Saccharomyces cerevisiae S288C: one gene and its partner. Changing the gene in region 2 together with the main gene of any one other region gives a genetic interaction. Each region holds a gene or a part of one and is shown on either strand. Other genes may lie near its edges.

Evidence for each region.
Region 1: of TGL1 (region 2) and YEH1, changing one enhances a phenotype caused by changing the other (phenotypic enhancement), as found in Saccharomyces cerevisiae (3 studies listed by BioGRID).

Annotation. Positions count from the first base shown.
Region 1 is NC_001144.5:123,706-129,914, forward strand, and holds YEH1 (sterol esterase), read left to right. Parts: upstream 1-1,828; coding exon 1,829-3,550; downstream 3,551-6,209. Other genes in the region: mRNA-binding protein PUF3, read right to left, coding at 1-1,009; rRNA-processing protein SOF1, read left to right, coding at 3,818-5,287; PSR1 (phosphatase), read right to left, coding at 5,625-6,209. UniProt on the Saccharomyces cerevisiae protein: Mediates the hydrolysis of steryl esters, thereby playing a central role in lipid metabolism.
Region 2 is NC_001143.9:178,402-182,925, forward strand, and holds TGL1 (sterol esterase), read left to right. Parts: upstream 1-2,377; coding exon 2,378-4,024; downstream 4,025-4,524. Other genes in the region: MRP8 (Mrp8p), read left to right, coding at 114-773; succinate dehydrogenase cytochrome b subunit SDH3, read left to right, coding at 1,266-1,862. UniProt on the Saccharomyces cerevisiae protein: Mediates the hydrolysis of steryl esters (SE). Preferentially hydrolyzes ergosteryl and zymosteryl esters. Required for mobilization of SEs from lipid particles/droplets, thereby playing a central role in lipid metabolism and sterol homeostasis.

The DNA of each region.
Region 1 (6,209 bases), on a different chromosome or scaffold from region 2:
GGGAGATGAAATTTGAAGGAGATCCGATCAAGTAGTTGGGGAAGTTTTGGTAATGAGGGCCCTGATGAAACTGATTGGGTGGGAAGCCGTTCATGTAGGGGGGGAAATTGTTATTTGCAGGCCCATCTTGTTGGTTAGGAAGCGCGACATTTGTGGCCCCAACAGCGGCTGGATTGTTACTAGGTCTAAATACTGGTGTGTTGGCTACGTTCCAGATATTTCTCTTGGGGTAATGAGCATTTTCGGACTCTAAAGACGCAGATGAGCCTGAATTTGAACTGGAGTGGTAAAGCGAACCACTGTTAGTAGTGTTCCTATTCAATTTGTTGAAGTTTTTGTCAGACTCGACATTTTGCTCGAAAGTATTCTGTGTGTCTAAGCTGGCGTTAGAGACGCTTTTTGATATGAATTGGGACTGAGTATTGACAGCGTCGGGTCTATCTTGAGATTCCAGTTCCCTTGTACCGTCAATCAAAGATTTTCCGAACTTCTCAAAAAACCCTTCCCCACCAGAGTTGTTGTTGTCATTGCCATTGTAGTAAACGGGACCAGCAATGGAAGCTGAATACTGGCCCAGAAGATGGTTGACCTTGTTGTTTTTCCCGAGATTAGCCGCAGTATGATGAGTATGATAGTTATTGTACGATGCGGATGACAGGGAGGCAGTGTCGGTTGATCTGTACTGGTAATAATTGCCGCCGTTACCAAAAAACTTTTTCGAGTTCGTGGAGAATGGCGGAGCAGTACCAACTGATAGGGCGGTTTTCTTGAAGATCGGTGAAGATTCACTGGAACCGTGAAGCAGCAAGATCTCTGAATCTACTTCATTTGCCGTGGTGAAACTCGACCTTCTGAAGCCGCCAATTTGCTGTGATCCAGCAGCACCGCCGTTCACAATGCCGGCCGCGGCGGCCTGACCGCCGTTGTTGTTACTATGGGACAGGGCGCTTAAAGAAGAAACTATGGATGCGAGTTCCATATCCATATCCATATCCATGTTCATTTCCATTTATACCCGCAATATTGCGTTATTCAGAAGAAATTTAAATGCGTAGTTCTTGTTTGTTTTCTTGTTTGCTTGCGTACTTCTATGCTTATAGATATATCAGTAGCAAGGAAGTTTCCTTTTCACCGCCTTTCAATGTTCCTATCTTTTTCTTATGTTTCTCTTTAGAGACCAGATGACCAGAAAAAAATTAGCTAAGCAGTGTTATACTATTTACAGTAGATATTCAAATATGTGCAGGCACCACTTATTTTTCTTTTTCCTTCTTTTCTTTGTTTTTTTTTTTCTCCTATTCATCAAGCTTCATACATCCAATATACATTCTCAAGTGTGCTAATGGTACATTTGGGAAATTATCTTCCTCTCTCCACAATTTTTAGAAGGAAAAAAGAAATGCAGTTCAGGGTAACAGAGTGCGCAATTACCGTAGATAGCGATCGGATGTTTATCTTTAGCCCTCTTTTTCTAGCTCAAACCCCGGCACGAATTTTTTAGGTCTTGCTGCTCTGCCCTCGGGCACTTTTCTTCGAGAAGTTCTGGGGCGGTCTGATCGGGAAAAAACGTTCCCTTTTCGGACGTATCGCAGGCAATGTGCAAAAGCTTATTATATACGAGAAAAGAAACGCGAAGGAACGAAAGAAGATGAAAAAAATGCAGCGATAAAATGATATTGTGGTTAATCTAAATTTATATATATATATATATATACATATATATATAGAAATCTATTGTTATACACAAAAATACTTATTTTTTAATATAGATGGCTGCAGATAAAGTAATAGTTTTATATATAGGTATATTTACTGCACAATTCACACGATGGGTGTTTCTGCGGTGTTGAAAAGAGCTAGGAATTTACTAGCAACGTTCATAGTCTGCTGTTTTATGGCAGTAGTGCTTGTTCTGGCGCTGGCACACCATTTTATAAATGAGCACAGAGACACTAGGAGTTCATCGACCCAAATCGAAGTTGATGACGAAAGTAAAAGAAACGTACACCATGACCATGTTCTCACTAGAACCAATGCATACGCGACGCCATACCTCGATCTGGAACATGACAAGAAAAACGGTATCGTCTACGATCATACAAGAACGGTTGTCCGTAAAAAGAACCACGAAGTGGGGTCCTCGTCACTGCATAAAAACCTTTTTCACAAATTTTTGACAAAGCTTATTTTTAGGTTTATCGAGAAGGAAAAAGTTACCGAAGGCGTAACGCAAGGAAAGTTCAATAATAGTAGCAATGAAATTGCCAATCATGAACCGGTTTTTGAAAAAATTCCTGTACAGTGCGACAATCCATTACAGAATCTAATCTTATCGGAAGACTTGACATTAGTTGCGGATCTTAATTATTATTTTAACCAGTACAATATTCAAATAGAGGAATTTAGATTGGAGACCGAAGATGGGTTTGTTATAGATTTGTGGCACTTGATACCAAAATATAGAACGACAGATTCTGACAAGAAGAAGAGGCCACCCATTTTGATGCTACATGGCCTTTTGCAAAGCAGTGGTTCGTTCGCATCCAATGGTAGAAAATCTCTGGCATATTTTCTGTATCAATCCGGTTACGACATATGGTTAGGGAATAACAGATGCGGGTTTAGGCCGGAATGGAACGAAGCGAAAGTACCGACACTAGCTTCCAGGTGGGACTGGGACCTTCGCGAGATGGTTAAGTACGATCTGACCCTTTTGATTGATACCGTGTTAGCTAAGACGCAGTTTGAAAAGCTTACTTTGATCTCGCATTCTCAGGGCACTACACAGGGGTTTATGGGCTTGGTCAACGAAGATAAGTTTTTCCCTCCCGGTTCGGGATCTAAAGAATCTTTTTTCACTTCTAAGATCGCAAACTATATTGCCTTGGCCCCCGCAGTGTATCCTGGTCCCTTACTTAACGAGAAATTGTTTGTTAAGCTTATGACAAAGGAAATCGAAAATCCCTGGTTCTTTGGTGAAACGAGCTTTTTTGAGATAATGATGATTGTAAGAAACTTGTGCGTTGGTGAGAGCTTGTTCTCCTTTGTTTGTTACACCATCTTCAATTACCTGTTTGATTGGAACGATACCCTTTGGGATACCGCATTAAGAGATCGCCATTTCCTGTTTTCGCCAGTCCATGTTTCAGTGAAGTTGATGCAATGGTGGCTGTCACCCGACCCCAACAAGGTAAGTTTTAAATTTGGTTCCCATAAGATGTTCCCCGACAATGTTAAGTGGTTTTCAGACGCATCAAAGGCCCCAAATATCTACTTGTTTGTTCCAAAGCAAGATAGATTGGTGGACGGAGAAAGACTAATCAATCATTTCGTCAATGTGGAGTCGAATGTCAACTACAAGATCTGGTACATTGATGAGTATGCCCATATTGATGTCCTATGGGCACATGATGTCATAGAGAGAATTGGTAAACCAATTTTACAGAATTTGAACAACTATTACTCCAAGAAGCCATCCAGCGCCTTTGAAAGTGATTGTTCGGACACAGAGGTGGAAACGGAGCTGGAAATGGTTGCTGAGAAGGCTTGAAGAGGAAGCATGATATATAGGTTAATATAAATTATACTTGGGAATACATAGATAGAGGGCTAGTAAATTTTTAGTTTTTAATTGTTCTTTTTTTTTGAAGTATTGTGTCACAAATTGTCGGGAGTTGGGACATCACCGTGCATAACGATACATTTTTTTGAAAAATTTGATATTGAAAAAAAATCGATGAGTTTGAATTACATTACAGTTGTATAAAGCAACCGCATTTCATTAACGTAGTTTGACTCGCGAAGATAAGGCGTTAAAATGAAGATTAAGACCATTAAAAGAAGTGCTGATGACTATGTCCCTGTTAAAAGTACGCAGGAATCTCAAATGCCCAGGAATTTGAACCCTGAATTGCATCCTTTTGAAAGGGCACGTGAATATACTAAAGCTTTGAATGCCACCAAATTGGAAAGAATGTTTGCTAAACCCTTTGTGGGTCAGTTAGGATACGGTCATAGAGATGGTGTTTATGCTATTGCCAAAAATTATGGTAGTCTGAATAAATTGGCTACTGGTTCTGCAGATGGTGTGATTAAATACTGGAACATGTCTACTAGAGAAGAATTTGTTTCCTTTAAGGCGCATTATGGACTCGTTACTGGTCTTTGTGTGACACAGCCTCGTTTTCATGACAAGAAGCCAGATTTGAAGAGCCAAAATTTTATGTTATCTTGCAGTGATGACAAAACTGTCAAGCTATGGTCAATAAATGTTGATGATTACTCCAATAAAAACTCCAGTGATAACGACTCCGTTACTAACGAGGAAGGTTTGATTCGTACTTTTGACGGTGAATCTGCATTTCAAGGTATCGATTCGCACAGAGAAAACTCCACGTTTGCCACAGGTGGGGCCAAGATCCATCTTTGGGACGTTAACAGATTGAAGCCAGTTTCCGATCTATCATGGGGAGCAGACAACATTACTAGTTTAAAATTCAATCAAAATGAAACAGATATCTTGGCCAGTACTGGTAGTGATAATTCTATTGTTCTTTACGACTTGAGAACCAACTCCCCCACACAAAAGATTGTTCAAACAATGAGGACGAATGCTATTTGCTGGAATCCAATGGAGGCCTTCAACTTTGTAACTGCCAATGAAGATCATAACGCCTACTATTATGATATGAGGAATTTATCACGTTCATTGAATGTATTCAAAGATCACGTCAGCGCAGTAATGGATGTTGACTTTTCTCCTACGGGGGATGAGATTGTTACTGGTTCGTACGATAAGAGTATCAGAATATATAAGACGAATCACGGACATTCGAGAGAAATTTATCATACGAAGAGAATGCAGCATGTTTTCCAGGTTAAATATTCCATGGATTCTAAATATATTATCAGTGGATCTGATGATGGGAATGTTAGGCTATGGAGAAGTAAAGCTTGGGAGAGGTCTAATGTCAAAACTACTCGTGAAAAGAATAAATTAGAATATGACGAAAAATTAAAAGAAAGATTTAGACATATGCCGGAGATCAAAAGAATCAGTAGACATAGACACGTGCCACAAGTCATCAAAAAGGCTCAGGAAATTAAGAACATTGAGTTGAGTTCTATTAAGAGAAGAGAAGCTAATGAAAGGCGTACTAGAAAGGATATGCCATACATTTCCGAAAGGAAGAAACAAATCGTTGGTACCGTGCACAAATATGAAGATTCAGGAAGAGATAGGAAAAGAAGAAAGGAAGATGACAAACGTGATACTCAAGAAAAGTAGTTATTCTGTTTTATGTTGTCTGTATATACACATATGTACAATATTTGCATTTTTTTAATTTTTAATTCACATGTATTTGATAAATGTTCACGCCAGTCCCGTTAAATTAAAATTACCATTTTATTAGATTATGAATTTATATATGAATACATTGTGTCGTAATGGTAGAAGAAGTTGAAAAAAAAAATGTCAAGGGACAGCATGGGTACAGTGTGTTGAGCCAAAAAAAAAAAGAAAAAAAAAGAAAAAACTTTTTGTTCTCTGGTTCTTTTCTTCATCTTCTTCATCTTCATTCTTTGGTAGCGGGGGCCACAAGAAATTCGGGCGAAAGTGCTCATTATATTGTTACATCCAAAATTTTGCCCACATCCAGTGAGGTTTTCACAGAAAGGTCTTCTAAAAGAGGAATAATATCTAATAATTCGTTATCATGAGTATCTGAGAACCAGGACGAAATCGGTATTGCATGTTGGGGATGAAAAATATAAGATGCCGGAGAGTTATCGAGAATGATGATATCTGATAACGGCCTTCCAATCTGGGATAAGTTTTTTATATAGTTTCCTTCATAGTTATAGCAAGCCTCTCTGAATAATCTGTGATGAATGACTTTATCTGTGTCTAATATATCAAGCAAAGGATCACCGTATCGAGAGACACTAGCCGTGAAGACTACAACCTCGAATAATTTTCCGACTCTTTCCAAAAATTCTTCCACACCAGGTCTTTTAATGACATAGACATTGTGTACTTGGTCATCTATTTCCACAGACAAAACAAAATCCGCAGATCGTAAGTATTTGAAAGAAGAGTGTACCAAGGTTTCATCCAGGTCCAGTATTAGGCATTTCTTGCCCTTTGTACTTTCATCTTGTGGGGGGAGCAGAGTGTTGTAACCTGGTGCATGATACTGGCCCTGCTG
Region 2 (4,524 bases):
AGCCGTTCAAATTAGTAACCGTTTGAGATATCTTGTCTTACTACTCGTATTCCGCAGATAAAGTACATTTTAAGAAAGGAAGTAAATACACATAAATAAATAGCAGGAAGAAAATGTCTAACGAAATTGAATTACTGCAGAAGCAAGTCTCTGAATTACAAGACTTAGTGAAGAAGCAAAGTCTGATTATCTCTAAGACAGGAGAGCGTGTGCTGGAATTGCAGTTAGATAAACAAAAGCACGACGTAACTGATTTTGATTCGAAATTCTCTAAATCTATCTCGAAGAAATCAGGATCCGCTACTCAATTCGATGCCACTGATTTTGCCACAAATGAAGATCTAGTGGAATTAGTCAAAGAACTACAGGGTGAGCTAAATTTCATCGAGGAAAGGTCTATCAGAAGACTTGTTAACTCTTTGAAAAAAGATGATGATGACGTTATAGCGCCACTGCCTAATGCAGATGGTGATATTCCTGCTATTTCAGACGGAGTGTTCCCTAAGTCGTTGAAAGAATTTAAAGACATCCCAGACTTAAAACTGGTAAGACTTGCTAAATTCTACGAAAGATTGCCACCAACTCTAAAGGAACAAGAAGATTTTGAAAACTTCCTGGAAGGTAAGGTGGAAGCCTTTCACATTAATGAGACCACTGATGAAGAGATTTCTAAGGAGTTGGAAAAGTTCTCCAAAGATGAGCTAGATGATGCATTTAATGATGTTGCCCGCTATCTAGGTCTCTCCCTTAGAAGAGGAACCGAAATATGGTAAACAGAAAATGAAAAAAAATGAAAAATCAATGAATAAGAGGGCTTGAGTTCCAGGTTCTAGAAATTTCCCTCACTTATATATATATATATATCTATATACATATAGTTTTGAGTATATCATAACAGGATTCTCTTTCAATGAAACCTATGTTTTCCGCGGCATTGCAGTTAAAGGATGTTCTAGTGGTGAAAAAGAGAAGAAAAGAATTCAAAGTTTTCCTCCCATAAGTATACCTATACTTTTTATCTGTGATTGAAAGCTGTATACCAACAGCCTTCTATATATTACCTTGTATACCATTCAGTAGTCTTAAGCATCATCTAACTTTTGACCAGGTCCATTCTGATTGGCTGCGGTAGCCCGCTCCGTTTTCCGCTCTAAGCGTTTGGTACTTGTATAAATGTGCACTGGCATTATGATATCGAGATCCCCGCATAGAAATCTCAGGACCAACCAAAAATTGCCAATCACAAGCTCTAAGAATAATAAACGATGTCTGCAATGATGGTCAAGTTAGGACTGAATAAGTCGGCTCTATTACTGAAACCCTCCGCCTTTTCAAGAGCAGCTGCCTTGAGCTCCTCGAGGAGGCTGCTTTTTAATACAGCTAGAACAAACTTCCTTTCTACCTCACCATTGAAGAATGTGGCCAGTGAAATGAACACCAAAGCGGCAATTGCTGAAGAACAAATATTAAACAAGCAAAGAGCAAAGAGACCTATTTCTCCACATCTGACCATTTACCAGCCACAATTAACTTGGTACCTGTCTTCTCTTCACCGTATTTCGTTGGTGCTTATGGGACTAGGTTTCTACTTGTTTACTATACTCTTCGGAGTCTCTGGTTTATTAGGTCTTGGATTGACTACCGAAAAGGTTTCTAATTGGTACCATCAGAAGTTTTCCAAGATTACCGAATGGTCCATCAAGGGTTCCTTTGCTTACTTATTTGCAATTCACTATGGTGGCGCCATTAGACACTTGATCTGGGATACCGCTAAGGAATTGACATTGAAAGGCGTTTACAGAACTGGTTACGCTCTCATTGGTTTCACCGCCGTTCTCGGTACTTATTTATTAACTTTATGATTCTTTAAGGCGACGCACCTGTTTCTACACACAAATATATATATAGCCAATTTTATATATACGTTCCTATATATGACCCAATACCGCACTTATTTATTCTTTAAGATCTTTATAACCCAAAATGCCGATTAACACAAACCTATATTTACTAGGGGCACATTTTTTATTTTTTTGCCTTTCTGTAAAATACAATAGAGAAAATAAAGGAACAAACAAGAGGAAAAACAGGAAAAGATAGCGCAAGAGTAATCATATTCAACAAAATATCAGTGATTTTTTACAGATATCAAGATAATTTCTTTCCGGATACTTATTGAAGCTATTATTTGTTACTGGCAAGAAAAAGCAAACATAGGCGGTCATTTTTCTTTTGTATAAAGTAAATACAAGAAGAATTATTTTCGAGGAATAACTAGGTGTGCAGAGATATTAAGGAACAAGGAAAGAAGAAAGAAAACAATTCGAACAAAACTTTATTATTCTAGCACTATTTTAAAAAACTGTCTTTTGGCAAAATGTACTTCCCCTTTTTAGGCAGATTATCGATAACAGATTACATTATAGTCGTCTTGGTATACATAGAAAGCATTATTTCATCAGTCCTTAAACTTATACCACAACCAATGATTAACCTTTTCGAATGGCTAATAAATTTCTCAACGTCCTCCGATGACAATACCATCGAAGAAAAGTTAAGGTCAGCTCCAACTATCCATGAAATGTGTGCAATTTTTGATATATCTGTCGAGGATCATTTGGTAAGAACTGAAGACAATTATATCTTGACACTGCATAGAATCCCACCGATTTCTAAAAACAGATTTAACAATAAAGTGGTATACTTACATCACGGTCTTTTGATGTGTTCTGATGTTTGGTGTTGCAATATTGAAAGACATAAAAACTTACCGTTTGTATTGCATGATTTAGGTTACGACGTCTGGATGGGAAATAATAGAGGTAATAAATATTCAACTGCCCACTTGAACAAACCACCAAAATCGAACAAGTTTTGGGATTTTTCTATCGACGAATTTGCGTTCTTTGACATTCCAAACTCAATTGAATTCATCTTAGATATAACAAAAGTGGACAAGGTCATCTGCATCGGATTCTCTCAAGGCTCTGCTCAAATGTTTGCTGCATTTTCGTTGAGTGAAAAATTGAATCGAAAAGTCTCCCATTTTATAGCCATAGCACCCGCTATGACTCCAAAGGGGTTGCACAACAGAATTGTCGATACCTTGGCCAAATCATCGCCCGGCTTTATGTATCTTTTCTTTGGTAGGAAAATTGTGTTACCTTCAGCTGTCATTTGGCAAAGAACTTTACATCCAACACTTTTCAATTTGTGTATCGATATCGCAAACAAGATACTGTTCAATTGGAAGTCGTTTAACATTCTACCGAGACAAAAGATTGCTTCTTACGCAAAACTTTATTCAACGACCAGTGTAAAATCCATTGTTCACTGGTTCCAAATATTAAGATCTCAGAAATTTCAAATGTTTGAAGAGTCTGATAACATGCTAAATTCCTTAACTAGGCCTTACCAAATTGCTAATTTTCCTACTAGAACAAATATCAAGATTCCCATTCTTTTAATTTATGGTGGCATAGATTCTTTAGTTGATATTGATGTGATGAAAAAAAATCTACCCTTCAACTCCGTCTTTGATGTTAAAGTTGACAATTATGAACACCTGGATTTGATTTGGGGCAAAGATGCCGATACCTTGGTCATTGCTAAAGTCTTGAGGTTTATTGAATTTTTTAACCCTGGTAATGTTTCAGTGAAGACTAACCAGTTACTACCATCAGCAAGTCTGGTTGAGGAATTACCAAGCACGACATGGAAGACAACTCATCCAACGCATGGTCTCAGTTATAGAACTCACTCGGCAGACCGTTCTCCGTTGTCTGTACAAGCTGATGAAGCGGATGAGGTCCACAATGCTGACAATTCAAGGTTCTTAAGACGAGTGTTTTCTACTAGTGCCATAGACGAGGACAACGAAAATGAGCACCAGGATGATACAGAAGATCAAATCCATAAGGAGCAGCAAAGACGGTTAAGTGCCTATCTGGAATCATCCAAAGATTTACGACAACTAGATGCCAACTCTTCGACAACTGCGCTGGATGCTCTAAATAAAGAATGAAAAGAATGCGAGAGAAACCCTATTAAACTATTTTTTGTCTAGGATAATAATATTAGCGCTAATCTAAAAATCGATGAACTAAAGAAAGAATATACGTACGTTTTATACACAATAAATGGATTTCATAAGAAGTCCTTAATATCCTCATGCTTGTGGATACTGGAAATTAGTAAAGTAATTAACTTCCTTTTAGCATTATTCTTATTTGGCTTAAAAAGGTCACGTGAAGCTCTATTTTTTTCGTTTTTTTTTTTCACTGATGGAAGAGAAAAACCTCTACATAATAAGGTAACTTTACATATTGATTGCCAATGAGATGTTAAAAAATGGACGGTTCAGACAGTAAAATACATTTAGAAAAAAAGAGAAGGTCTTATCAGTGTATTTATTCACTGTGCATATTAGCTTTTTTTGGACTTTTTTTGTTCCATTAGTACTTTTAAAAAACCTATTTGTAAATAAAACTAATTCTAGCACTATTCTTTGCACTAGAATAACAC